Linked DNA regions of Cricetulus griseus. The main gene of each other region encodes a partner of the protein of the gene in region 2 in a complex. Links are inferred from orthologs where the notes say so. Each region holds a gene or a part of one and is shown on either strand. Other genes may lie near its edges.

Region 1 (4,284 bases), about 180 Mb from region 2:
GAAAGGAGATAGGGATGAACATGATCAAAATATAAAACACTTTGTATGCATGTATGAAAGTATGAAGGAATAAAAACATTTTAAAAAACTATTTCAAGTGCAAAAAAGAAATCCTAAGTAAACAAACTTTGACATTTTGTAAACTTCAGGATTCAGTCTTGATGGGCTTGCTTAGAATACTGGACAGGGGAAATGTGTTTACTAAGCTACGGGGTTGGTCACTGTATGAAACATCTTAAGAGAATGTAACAGAAGACAAGACACCTTTGGGTCTTGAACAAATTACTGTATATATTTTCAAAGCTCCTTTTTAATACTCAGTTAATTACCAATCTTATTTCCTTGCCTTAGTCTAAAACCTAAAACTTCAAAGTAATTGCTTATTTTTATTATTACTGTGTGTATTTCTAAGTGTGTACACATGCATGCTTGCATGCTGCCAAAATGTGAAGATCTGGGACAGTTATTGTTTTTCTTTTTTCAAGACAGGGTCTCTCTAGTCCTTGATGTTCTAGAACTCTCTATGTAGACAAGGGTGGCCTCAAACTCAGAGATACACCTGCCTCTGCCTAAGATTGAAAGTATGGAACACTAAATAAATCCAGCTAGATGACAACTTTTGGGAATCAGGATTCTCTCCTCCCACCATGGGTTCTGGGGATCCAACTAAGGTAGTCAGACCTGCCTGACCAGTGCTTTTATCCACTGAACCATCTCACCAGCCAGATTACTTAATTAAAAAGAAAAAAATACAAACTGGTGCACACACAAACTTTTTAAATAAATACAAATTGGCTCACATATAAACTTTTTAAACATAGAAAGCTAAAAAATACAGTAGTAAATAAATGCTCCAATGTTATACTCCTATGTCACAAAAAGACTAACAGTGTATTTTGGAAGATTCAAGCGCCATACCTACAAACTACAGAAAGTCAATTTGAATACACCACTCTGGTGTTTCTTAACAAGCAATGCTATTTTCTATACAAATGAGCAATAATGGGAAAATTCTTTCTCAAACATGAGCCACCCTTAAAAGGATGCATTACACAAGTGGACCTCATTTGCTCTGCAATGTTAATGTTCTTCAGCACTGCTGCATTTTATAATCAAAGGACACAATTCTAGTGATACAAGTCTAAAAATATTACTCAAGTTTTGGGGGTTAAAAATTAAAACCAAGGGTGGTAATTTAAGTAGTTCATGCCTGTAATCCCAGCACTTAGGCGGCAGGGACTATTCTATCAGTTTCCCATGACAGAACATAAATAAGTCCTATAAAGAGAGACTTAGAAGGAAGGAATGTCCCTTTAAGGTCAAGGCTAGCCAGAACTAAACATAGAGACCCTGTTTCAAAATAAAAAATAAATCCGAAAACCATTTTTAATGGTAAAACTAAAGCATGCAACTTTAAGTTGCAATTCTAACAAAGACAAATCAGATATACAACTAAATTCTCTTTTTAGCTCACCCTTAGCACCATGCACCAAATTTAGGTTCCTTACATCAGGTTAAGTCACAATTGGTCAGTGTGGCAAAGAATTGCTCCCACAAGAAAGTTCAACCGAGTACAGACAGCCAAGGGGACCTTTAAAGTTCATGCCTACCTAAGTGGCTGCAGACAGTGTGTATTCCCTGGCCAAAAATAACCTAAGCCTAAGATTTTTAACCTTTCCGTATTTTAGATGCATCTCAGGCAGCCATCAAGGCAGGCAACATGATTTCAACAACAACAAAAAAAAAAAACACACCACCTGACTCTGAACCGACGTGCTGAGTGGAGTGACCCACTAAGGCCACAAGATGTATCTTAATTTGTGGAGCCCTGACTTGTAGGAGTTAAAACTCTCACCCCTTATGCTGAGATGACGTAATCTTCCACACTGCATTTCTACGGGACTTAAAGGGGAGGAAAGAGGAATTAAAAAAAAAAAAATAGAAAAACCAACAAAGAAAATTTCCTGCTAGTAATGAGGAACCGAGCAAGCGGCCAGGCGGGGTTTCGGGAGGTGCTTAGACAGGTCCCGGAAGGCAAGGAGGCCGGCCCAGTCGCGGGAGCCCCGGGAGCCGCGGGGCAGGAGCGGACGGACACAGCGCGGGGCTGGGGACCGCCGAGGGGCGCAGGCGCAGAGCCGCCCGGTCCGTCACCGTGGCCCCGGCCCGGCCCTGCGGCCGCAGTTCCGCTCCCCTCCCCCGCCGCCCGCCCGCAGCAACGCGTCCACGGCGGAGCCCGGGAAGCAGGAAGTCGAGACCGAAAACGTAGACGGCGGCCGGCGGCCCCCGGCCCCCGGCCCCCAGCCCCCGGCCCGGAACCCGGCCCTACGTCCGCTGCCCCCGTCCAGGAGTCTGCGGAGCCCGGGCGGGCGGGAGGGCGGACGGGCGGAGGGGGAGGGGAGCCGGTGGGATGGGTGTGCCTGGTTCTCCCGCCGCCACTGACAGCTCGGCCGGGATGCGCCCTCCGCCGCCGCCATCCCCGGCAGCGCCTCGTCGCCATTCCGGCCCCAAATCTCTCCGCGACCCCGCCTCGTTCCCCTCAGAACCCGGGCCCGCGGGCGCACGCGAACCCGGCAATCCCCCCCCTCGAGGCCCGCAGGTACCGGGATGCCCCCGACCGCGAGCATCCTCGAGGACCGAGGGAGGGCGGGGGCGCGCGACAGGGACCGGGCGATGCACAACACACTCCCGCGGGGAGGCTACTCGGGCCCCGCACTCACCTCAGCTTCTCCGCCGGGGCGTTGGCAGCACTGCGCGGGGCCTCCTCGGCTGCCGGACAGGGGCACGCGCCTGACGTCAGCACGCAGGGGACGCACGGTTGGGTGCCCGCGGAAGTGGGCGGGACAAAGAGGAAGAAGGGGCTGGAACGGGCCGCGGTGGGCGTGGCTTGGTAGTGGCTCCGCCCGTATCGCGCACGCGCGGGCTGAGTTCCTCCTATACTCAGGTTTTCTGCACGTTTTACCAGTGATTTTTATTCGTAATAAAACTATGAACAGAAGTGTTCACAGTGTTGTCACTAAAGTTTGTTTTTGTCCTTGGAACTTTGTGAAGAAAAGCATTGTAAATATATCTTATTTTTAATTTTTTTATTTTGAGACAAGGTGTCATTATATAGCCCTTGCTGTCCTAGAATGGCTATATAGACCAGACTGTCCCAGAACTCATATTCTCCTGCTTCTGCTTCCTGCGTGCTGATACTCAACACCATGTCTGGGATGTCTTTTTGGTTTGGTTTGGTTTGGTTTGGCTTGGCTTGGTTTTTTTGAGACAGGGTTTCTGTGTATAGCCCTGGCTGTCTGGAACTTGCTATATGGTCCAGGCTGGCCTGGAACTTGGAGATCCGCTTGCCTCTGCTTCCTATGTGCTGGGATTAAAGATGTGCATCCCCATGACCAGGGTACCTTTCTTTAATGACGTTTGAGACAGGGTCTCATGTAGCCCAGGCTGGCTTTGAACACAACTATGTAGCAGAGGTTGACCTTGAACTCCTGATCCTCATCCTTGCACCTCCCAAGTGCTGGGATTGTAGGCATGCATCTCCACACCCTGCATCCTTTTTTGCTTCTCAAAGAGAAATAGAGACTTGTTGTGCACAGCTTTCTGAAGCCCACGGGCCTCTAAACAATCTGCCTGTCAAGGAGTGAGAATAGAATATTGCCCTGGGTTTTGTTTAGAGCTAGAGACCCGCCCCCTCAAAAAGGTCCTGCATTTACTCTGCCTAGCTCCTCTTCCCTGGCCCCCTAGGTTGACTCTTGAAGGGACTCTAGCCAGCCCGAGTGTGGCAAACATGGCCTTGTCCTCCCACATCCCCTCTGTCTTGCTAAAAATCGTTAGATTATAATCCTAAAACTAGCCACCATGGTCCATTCCCTTATTTAGCCACTTCCTCCTCCTGAGGCTGACTGCCAATGTCCAGCTATCAAAGTATTGTAGTCCAGCGATCAAAACCCCCCTTTGTCTTACCTAATTAACCTGTCCAGTCAAATTTCATCCTAACTCAGGATTTCCCCCTTTTACCTTTATAAACTGCTGTTTGTCTATGGGCCATGTCTGTCTCCTCTCAATCCAGAGGCAGTCCTTTGTACCTCTGGGACAAATATTCCTTCCCTCCTCTCCCTTGTTCTCTTTCCCTTCTCCCTGGTCCTCTGTCTCCTGTCTTTGTCTCATATTCCCTGCCCTCTGTCCCCCTGGGTCAAATAAATCTCCTTTGTGCTGAGAACTTGGGGTGTCTTGTGCTAGTCCCTTCAGCTCTGATCTCTCAAATCCTTCTACCTTCCCTGTCTTCTT
Region 2 (3,622 bases):
TGTTTCTGCTGGAGAAACAGAGTGGCCAGCTTTTCACCCCCTTCCAGAAGTTCAATCCATTTATGATCTCAGACATGCATACAACATGCTAAGAGGTAATAGGAACACAGTACTGGTGAAATACAGAGCTACAAGAAGGGGGGAGTCGGGGAAACATTTTTGGGAACCCAAAAGCAGCAGGAATGAGAGCAGGTCAGGGAACATTTTGCATAGGCAGAGGAAAGACTAGGTGTGACAGCAATTCCCAAATCACAAGGGTGATGGGACATACATAATCCAAGAGCCAGCAAAGGAGAGGAAAAAAAAATTAAACATGTTGAAATCCAGCACCAGGAGCTTGGAGGCAGAAGGTTGCCAAAAACCATTTGCCAGGAGCCACATTTAGACCCAAGCTCTCCTGTGTAGCTCTAGGTTCTAGACAAAGATGCCTTCCAATGTCCCCTTCACATTCCCACCTGCATTCATGTCTATGAGCTGCTCTCGCTTCTGCTGCTTCTCCAGTCGCTCCTTTTCTGCCTTCTCCTTGGCTAGTTTTGCTCTCCGCATCTTTTCTTCTGTTTCCCGGCGCTTCTGATTCTCCTTGACTGCTTGCTGAAGCACAGATTGGGGGAAGGTGGATATGTGGGCACATGTAAACCCACCAATAACCATTAGGAACCCCATGAAAAATTAGCAGTTTACCCTTGCTCACCAAAAACATATTCCTAAAGTTGTGCAGATCCATAAAGAATTCTTCCACAGACAATTTTTTAGGGTCAAAGATGAAGTAGTCACCTAGCTCCTTATATAGAGTCTCCATGTTGGAGTGCATCATCCGTAGCTTGTTATACTGCTCTTGTGCATCTTTCACAAAACTGTGCGCCAAAGAGTAAAGGACCACGACCAAGACCAGAGACCCACTCAAAGATGAAAAGTGGGCTGTGCAGCAACCACCGTATAGTGCTGCTCATGACAGAACAGAAGCACTCTAATTATTCAGAGTGACAAACCATAAGCTATGGCTTACCTATACAATAGAAGCTGCAAAGACTACTATAGACACAAGACTGAGACATATGCAGATAAAGCTACATGATGCAGTTTCTGTGTAAAACAACAATGAGGTATAAATCAGAAAGTGGTGGTGAAAGGGTCTGTCTGTGACAGCAATGGGGCGCACAGAGTAGGGACTCGGGGGTTTTTAGTGAAGGTGGGTACGTTTATAACGGGAATGGGACACAGAGTAGGCACTCAGGGATTTGTAGTTTATCTGCAAGGTTTGCTTTCCCTTCTACGTTAAGTTTAAAAATTGTGTATTTAGTGGAAAAAAAAACCAATTCAAAGGTGAAAACTGAAAATTGCCATCATCTATTTTCCCCAGAGATTTTCCCTTCCCAGGGATCAAGTCCTCCAAAGAAAGGATATAGTCATTTTCTCAACAAACTTGTCCTTTTCGTCTGTGGCAGCTGGGAAATTCTGAACATCACGTTCCACGTCAGCGATCTGTTTCTTCATCTGATCTAAGTTCTTCTGTAAGTTCTCAGCAGAAACTACAGGAGAGAAACGGAAGACCTTACTAATAACCATCAAGAGCCCACCCAGCCTCACCTGCTTACATACTTCCCTTTCTTCTCTATGTATGCTCCTCTAGCCTACATATGCTCCTCTCTCTGATTCATGTTGGTTTTGATCTCTGCAGCAAAAGCATAATTATTTGCTAATTGAACTTCCAACCTTCATACACTGTACAATACTAACAGAAGCAGACTTCATGTCATTTAAAAAGAACCGATGGGATCCCCTGAGACCTTGGTCTCATTTATTTCAGATTACAGGGTTTCAGAAGTAGGAGATGTAGGTAGGAACCCAGAAGCAGGGTAGAGATCTGTCCCATTTCAACCCAGTGTTTTGCCTACTTCCCAACAATGAGGCCCACTGCTTGTTAATCCAGTCTGTCTTTCAGAATGACAAAAGCCATGGACCTAGACTAAAAGCACCTGCCTTTCCAGCATCTGTGCGTGTGTGAGTGCCTGCGTGCGTGCGTGCGTGTGTGCCTATGCACGCAGTATTTCAAGAAAGGGAAAAAGTACTTCCACTTGTATACAGGCTGTCTTCAACCTCACACTCCTCCCTGAATCTTAGACACCTAACTACTTAAATTCTCCTTTATTCTCACTTAAAATGGTCTGAACCAAAAATGATTTACGTCTACACAGTGTCCTATTTCTTTCCTCATGGAGAAACTTTTTGGGCTCAGTACACACCTTTTTAAGAAAAATTTTCAAATTACACTTATTTGTGTGTGTTTCAGTGAGAGAGAGAGAGGGGGGAGGGGGGGGAGGGAGGAGGGAGAGAGAGAGAGAGAGAGAGAGAGAGAGAGAGAGAGAGAGAGAGAGAGAGAGAGAATGTGTGTGTGTGTGTGTTTAGGTCATAGAGAGCTAGTTTTCTCCTTCCACTATGTTGGTCCCAGGGACTGAATTCAGGTTGGAGGTTTGGCAGCAAGCATCTTTACCCACCGAGTCATCTTGCTGGCCCAGAACAATCTTCTAGCTTTGCCCTACACTGCCTTACCTCGGCTGGCTTTCTCTACATGGGCAAGCTCATCAGGAAACTTGAGGACATCAGGGTAGTCATTCTCACATAACTCAGCCAGAAAATGCAACAAAGTCATCTTCTGATCTGCAGACTTGGTGTCTCGGAGCTTGGGGTGAGAGGAGAAACTGTTAGTCCTGACTTGTCCCAAATGATCTTAAGCCAATACTGGGCTCAAGGTAGCCTTCCCTCTGTCCTCCTGTCTAATTCCATGGTTCACCTTACAGAGGAAGCTGATATTAAAGCCAAAAGCACCAGCATTCCTGGAGCCAGCATTCATGTAGTTTCCAACAAGCAGTGTGATCTCCAGGAGGCTGGAGAAGCTCTCGCTCTTACGCAGCTCCTCACACGCAGCAGTGACAGACACAATCTCTGGCTTGATATTCTCAACTTGCTCACTGAATTGTAGCTTGAAGAGAATGGCATTGAGGCGAGGCCGAAGGCGGGGCACTGTGCCCATCTAGTGAGGAAGGCAACAAGTTCCATTATGGAGCTAATGGAGAGAGACGTCAAAAGATACAGGCCGAGCCTCCTCTGTGAGACTGGAGCTTCAGAGCAAAGGAGTGGGGGGTGGGGGAGACAGAGAAATTGATTAACTTAAAAGGTTCAAAACAGATCAGAGGCAAGGAGCAAGTGACCAGGCTGGTCTCCAGAGGGAAGGGTATAAGGGAGTTGGAAAACAGCCAACTGCTACAGGCCTCACTCACCACCACGCCAAACTGCTCTGACTCAGCCAGATCATCATACTCGTCCTTCAGTTCAGAAAGCATTTTTAATTGCTCTGGTTCTGGCATCTGTTTAATGAGGTTCTGGAAAAGAGAGTAAATGTGGGGTGAGCTGTAAGTCTGAGTATCACGACTGTGACTCTAAATTCCACACTCTGACCAGTGATAACGAAGGAAGCATGAGGGCGGGGCAGCTTGTGAGATGGGGGATTCCTGAGTCTGCTGAGGTACCCTGCCCACAGCAGCTTCTTCAGCCAGCATTTTGAGTCAAAACTGGGGAAGGAGCTCCTGCTCACCGAGTGAGGCGGTGAGGCTGCTGTGCAGCT
Region 3 (3,622 bases), on a different chromosome or scaffold from region 2:
TTCCTCCCGCACTGTGAGTTGTGCTGCTGGGCCCCATCCCTCATTGTGCTCCAAACCTGGGCCCACTGACTGTATTCCCCATGGGCTCTACCCATATGTCATGGGTGGGTTACATGAGTTCCTTCTTCAGGGAACATCTCTTTCAGGGCTTGTTACTCCTGTCCTCAAGACTCCCCTCCTGGAAATTTCACCACTTCCAAGGGACAGTCCCCAAATCCATAGTTTTCCTCTTTCTTTTCTTTTCAGACAAGATCTCACTATGTAGGTCTGGCTGGCCTAGAACTCATAGAGATCCATGTGCCTTTGCCTCCTGAATCAGCCCCACAATGCCCAGACCCAGTTTTTTCCTAGGAAGTCTCAAACAGGCAGACAATTATTGGTACCTGTGTCAGAAGCAATAGAATAGCACGTTGAAAGCCAGCCTGGGCTACTGAGTAAGTTTAAGTTCAGCCTGGACTATTTAGTGAGGCTTCGTCTCATACTCAAAAGAAAAAAGAGGGCCTGTGAGATGGTAAAGGGGCTTGCCACCAAGTCTAACTAACCACCTGAGGTCAGTTCCTGGAACCCACATGGTAGAAGAAGAAAATCAACTCCTACTCACATCAACTAAATGTTATTTTAAATATTTTTAAAGTAAAAGCAATGCCCAGTGCTAGAACACTTGTCTAGGGAGATGCCCAACACAGGGTCATTTCCTCTGTCACCTCAGTTTTGAAACCCCAAACAGAATGAGTCAGAGTGGGGCACTTAGGACACCATCTATCTGTTTTCTGTCCCCACCTGTATTGTGTCTTCTCCCATTCTGTAACACCTGGTGCCCCCCAGCCCACAGGAAACGTGTGGATGACACATGAGGAGATGGAGTCCCTGACAGCAGCTACGAAACCTGTGAGTGCCTCCTGCTGGTGGGCCTCAGGGTGGCACTATCCCTACTGGGTGTGGGGGCCGGGAGGAGTCAGTCTGTCCATGCATCGTCTGTCCCTTTTGTTCTCCTCTGCCTGTCCCCTTAACCCGCCCTTCTCTCCCCCTCTACCCACTAATGGGTCAGGAGACCAAGGAGATCAGCTGGGAGCAGGTAGGGTGCAGGGCGGGCTGCTCGCATGAACAGCTTGTGCACGCTGCATGGTCTTTCTCTTTTCCTGCGCCCTACCCTTTGCCTGAACATTCTAAGTCCCTGACCAGGACAGGAAGGCTGCAGCTTGGTGTGCAGCTGTGAACTAATTCATAGTGGCTTGGTGGGGGACAAAATGGAAACCCTCAGTGTCCACCTCCAGCTTGGTGCACGGGCCATTCCATGGTTGTGGGTTGCTGGGGGAGCTGGGGACTATGGTATTGCTGGAACCAGAGGGAGCTGCTGGATGGTGATAGGGCTTGTGTTAGGGATGGGGAAGAGGGCTGGACACACCATTTAGTGGCTCAAGTGTTAGCCTTGCTGGTTTTGGTGGCTGTGAGTGGGCCAGGCAAGTGAGCGGTGTCGAGGACATAATACACGGTGACTGGAGAAGAGAGAGGCCACATGCTTGACTTGAGCTTGCCAGGGGTGGAGGCTCCAGGTTGGGCTGTGGTCTGTTTCCTGGCCCTAAAGCTGCAAAAGACTTTGGTCTTATCTCATAGACTTGTCCTAAACTGGGTATTGAGGAGTGATGGTCTCTGGGTGGCAGGAAAGTCACTCTGGAACCCTAACTTTCCAGGTGTAGTCATGTTTGGGCTGAGTGGGTGCATACCTGCAGAGCTGGGAGTCAGTTGGTGGAGCCCTTGCCTATAATAGAGTCCTAACTTCTAGCATCAACTTGGAGTGGGGGTGCACACCTGTAACCCCAGCACGCAGGAGGGTGGAGGTAGGAGGATGTAGAGTTGAAGATCATGCTCAAACTTCATTTCGAATTTGAGGCTAGCCTGTGCCACATTAGACCCTGAGCTGGTCCATTGTTCCCAGAGGCCAGATTGCTCTGTGGTGGGGAGAAAACTAGCTTGGGGTGGGAACCGAACTTTATCCTTTCCCTGTACATATGGGAAAGGACAAGAGGGCCTGACCCCCTCCCTCACCTGCCCATGGCCCCAGATCCTGGCATATGGCGACATGAACCACGAGTGGGTGGGGAACGACTGGTTGCCCAGCCTTGGGTTGCCCCAGTACCGAAGCTATTTCATGGAGTCACTGGTGGATGCTCGGATGTTGGACCATCTGAACAAGAAGGAACTGCGAGGCCAACTCAAGATGGTGGACAGCTTCCACAGGTGGGGACTGCCTGGCCAAGGGAAGAAGTCACACCCCTGGAGAGGCTTTGGCTAATGGGAAGTTCTGTGAAATTCTAGCTTGTTGCTCCTTGAACCAAGAAGGTGGTCCATAGGAGAATGAAGATCTAGTGTGGTCCTGGTGACCTGCTACTGGGGGAGGCCAAATCAGGAGGATTGCAAATTTGAAGTTAGCCTGTACTAGAGAGTTCAAGGCCAGTCCAGGAAGCTTAGGAGACCCTGTTTCAAAATTAAAAAGTAAAAATAGAGAGATCCCGGAGAGAGAGATAGAGAAAGAGAGAGAGAGAGAGAGAGAGAGAGAGAGAGAGAGAGAGAGAACAAGCAAGAGAACTTAAGTAAGTACTAGTGCACTGGGGATGCCCAGTATGGGTAACACACACACACACACACACACACACACACACCACACGCACGCACGCACGCACACACACACACAGACACACACACACACAGAGACAGAGAGAGACTGATAACGACAGTGGCCATGGGAAGGCTCCTAGGTGACTCAGTTTCCCCCCATTGCTCAGGGTTAGTCTGCACTATGGTATCATGTGCCTAAAACGGCTCAACTATGACCGGAAGGACCTGGAGCGGAGGAGGGAAGAGAGCCAGACGCAAATCAGAGGTGAGGTCCTGTGGGGGCCAAGTAGAGTGGCCGGCTGGAGGGAGGAAAGTCAGATATTCCAACAGCTACTAGAAACAGGGTGGAGTCACCATGGGGAACAGGCCACAGAATGAGTGCAGAGTTATGTGCCAGACTGGCTGGTTCTGGCCACTGGGGAGCGCTATCACACAGGGGGTAGAGCCAGCATGAGGGCTTGGCCAAGAGCGAATGTGAACCTGCTCACTAGGGGGCGCTGTTCCTCCAAATAATTAGTAGAACCAGTAAGGGAGCGTGGCTTGGGAGGGAAATGGGAATCTCAGGCCTAATTAGCCATTTCCCTAGATGAGGGTGGAACCATCATAGAGGTATGTCTGGTAAAGGAAATGAGGGTGGAATTAGGCTAATTTGGCAGGGCTGACCTCTGGGAGATGCATCTCCCTTTCATCTCTAGACGTGATGGTGTGGTCCAACGAACGGGTCATGGGTTGGGTGTCTGGGCTCGGCCTGAAGGAATTCGCTACTAATCTCACCGAGAGTGGGGTGCACGGGGCGCTGCTGGCCCTGGATGAAACCTTCGACTACTCTGACCTGGCTTTGCTTCTACAGATACCTACACAGAACGCACAGGTGAGCCTTGGCTAGTCGGGGAGCATGCTGGGCACTTCCCCTGAACGCTTCAACCTTGGCTCACTATCCTCTCCCCCTCATCCTTCTCCAGGCCCGGCAACTGCTGGAGAAAGAATTCAGCAACCTCATCTCCCT

Evidence for each region.
Region 1: the proteins of Diaph1 (region 2) and Cdc42 are in contact, whole or in part, in a crystal structure (PDB 3EG5), measured with the Mus musculus proteins. The link is inferred for Cricetulus griseus from reciprocal best matches to the Homo sapiens genes DIAPH1 and CDC42. Residues at the interface, in NP_031884.1 of Mus musculus: Met90, Asp93, Met94, Asn95, Leu96, Lys100, Pro103, Leu104, Lys107, Ile111, Met115, Gln118, Tyr119, Thr122, Ser133, Tyr139, Ser158, Arg160, Val161, Ser162, Leu163, Pro167, Val168, Val171, Arg210, Lys213, Ala214, Asn217, Asn218; in NP_033991.1 of Mus musculus: Val36, Phe37, Gln61, Glu62, Asp63, Tyr64, Asp65, Arg66, Leu67, Pro69, Leu70, Pro73, Glu95, Lys96, Pro99, Glu100, His103, His104.
Region 3: the proteins of Diaph1 (region 2) and Ppfia3 are in contact, whole or in part, in a crystal structure (PDB 4UWX), measured with the Mus musculus proteins. The link is inferred for Cricetulus griseus from reciprocal best matches to the Homo sapiens genes DIAPH1 and PPFIA3. Residues at the interface, in NP_031884.1 of Mus musculus: Lys252, Ser255, Ala256, Ile259, Gln307, Asn310, Ala311, Thr314, Pro315, Ala316, Glu317, Arg322, Gln352, Cys354, Val355, Glu358, Gln359, Glu362; in NP_084017.2 of Mus musculus: Pro719, Arg720, Arg723, Leu724, Arg726, Met727, Ala728, Ala730, Leu731.

What each region holds. Positions count from the first base shown.
Region 1 is NC_048595.1:15,952,756-15,957,039, reverse strand, and holds the start of Cdc42 (cell division control protein 42 homolog), read right to left. Parts: upstream 2,840-4,284; 5' UTR 2,718-2,839; intron 1-2,717. UniProt on the Homo sapiens protein: Plasma membrane-associated small GTPase which cycles between an active GTP-bound and an inactive GDP-bound state. In active state binds to a variety of effector proteins to regulate cellular responses. Involved in epithelial cell polarization processes.
Region 2 is NC_048595.1:199,788,323-199,791,944, reverse strand, and holds part of Diaph1 (protein diaphanous homolog 1), read right to left. Parts: intron 3,381-3,622; coding exon 3,279-3,380; intron 3,032-3,278; coding exon 2,792-3,031; intron 2,681-2,791; coding exon 2,551-2,680; intron 1,530-2,550; coding exon 1,405-1,529; intron 857-1,404; coding exon 692-856; intron 592-691; coding exon 456-591; intron 1-455. UniProt on the Homo sapiens protein: Actin nucleation and elongation factor required for the assembly of F-actin structures, such as actin cables and stress fibers. Binds to the barbed end of the actin filament and slows down actin polymerization and depolymerization.
Region 3 is NC_048599.1:154,252,084-154,255,705, reverse strand, and holds part of Ppfia3 (liprin-alpha-3), read left to right. Parts: coding exon 1-13; intron 14-825; coding exon 826-888; intron 889-1,048; coding exon 1,049-1,075; intron 1,076-2,062; coding exon 2,063-2,238; intron 2,239-2,783; coding exon 2,784-2,881; intron 2,882-3,311; coding exon 3,312-3,487; intron 3,488-3,578; coding exon 3,579-3,622. UniProt on the Homo sapiens protein: May regulate the disassembly of focal adhesions. May localize receptor-like tyrosine phosphatases type 2A at specific sites on the plasma membrane, possibly regulating their interaction with the extracellular environment and their association with substrates.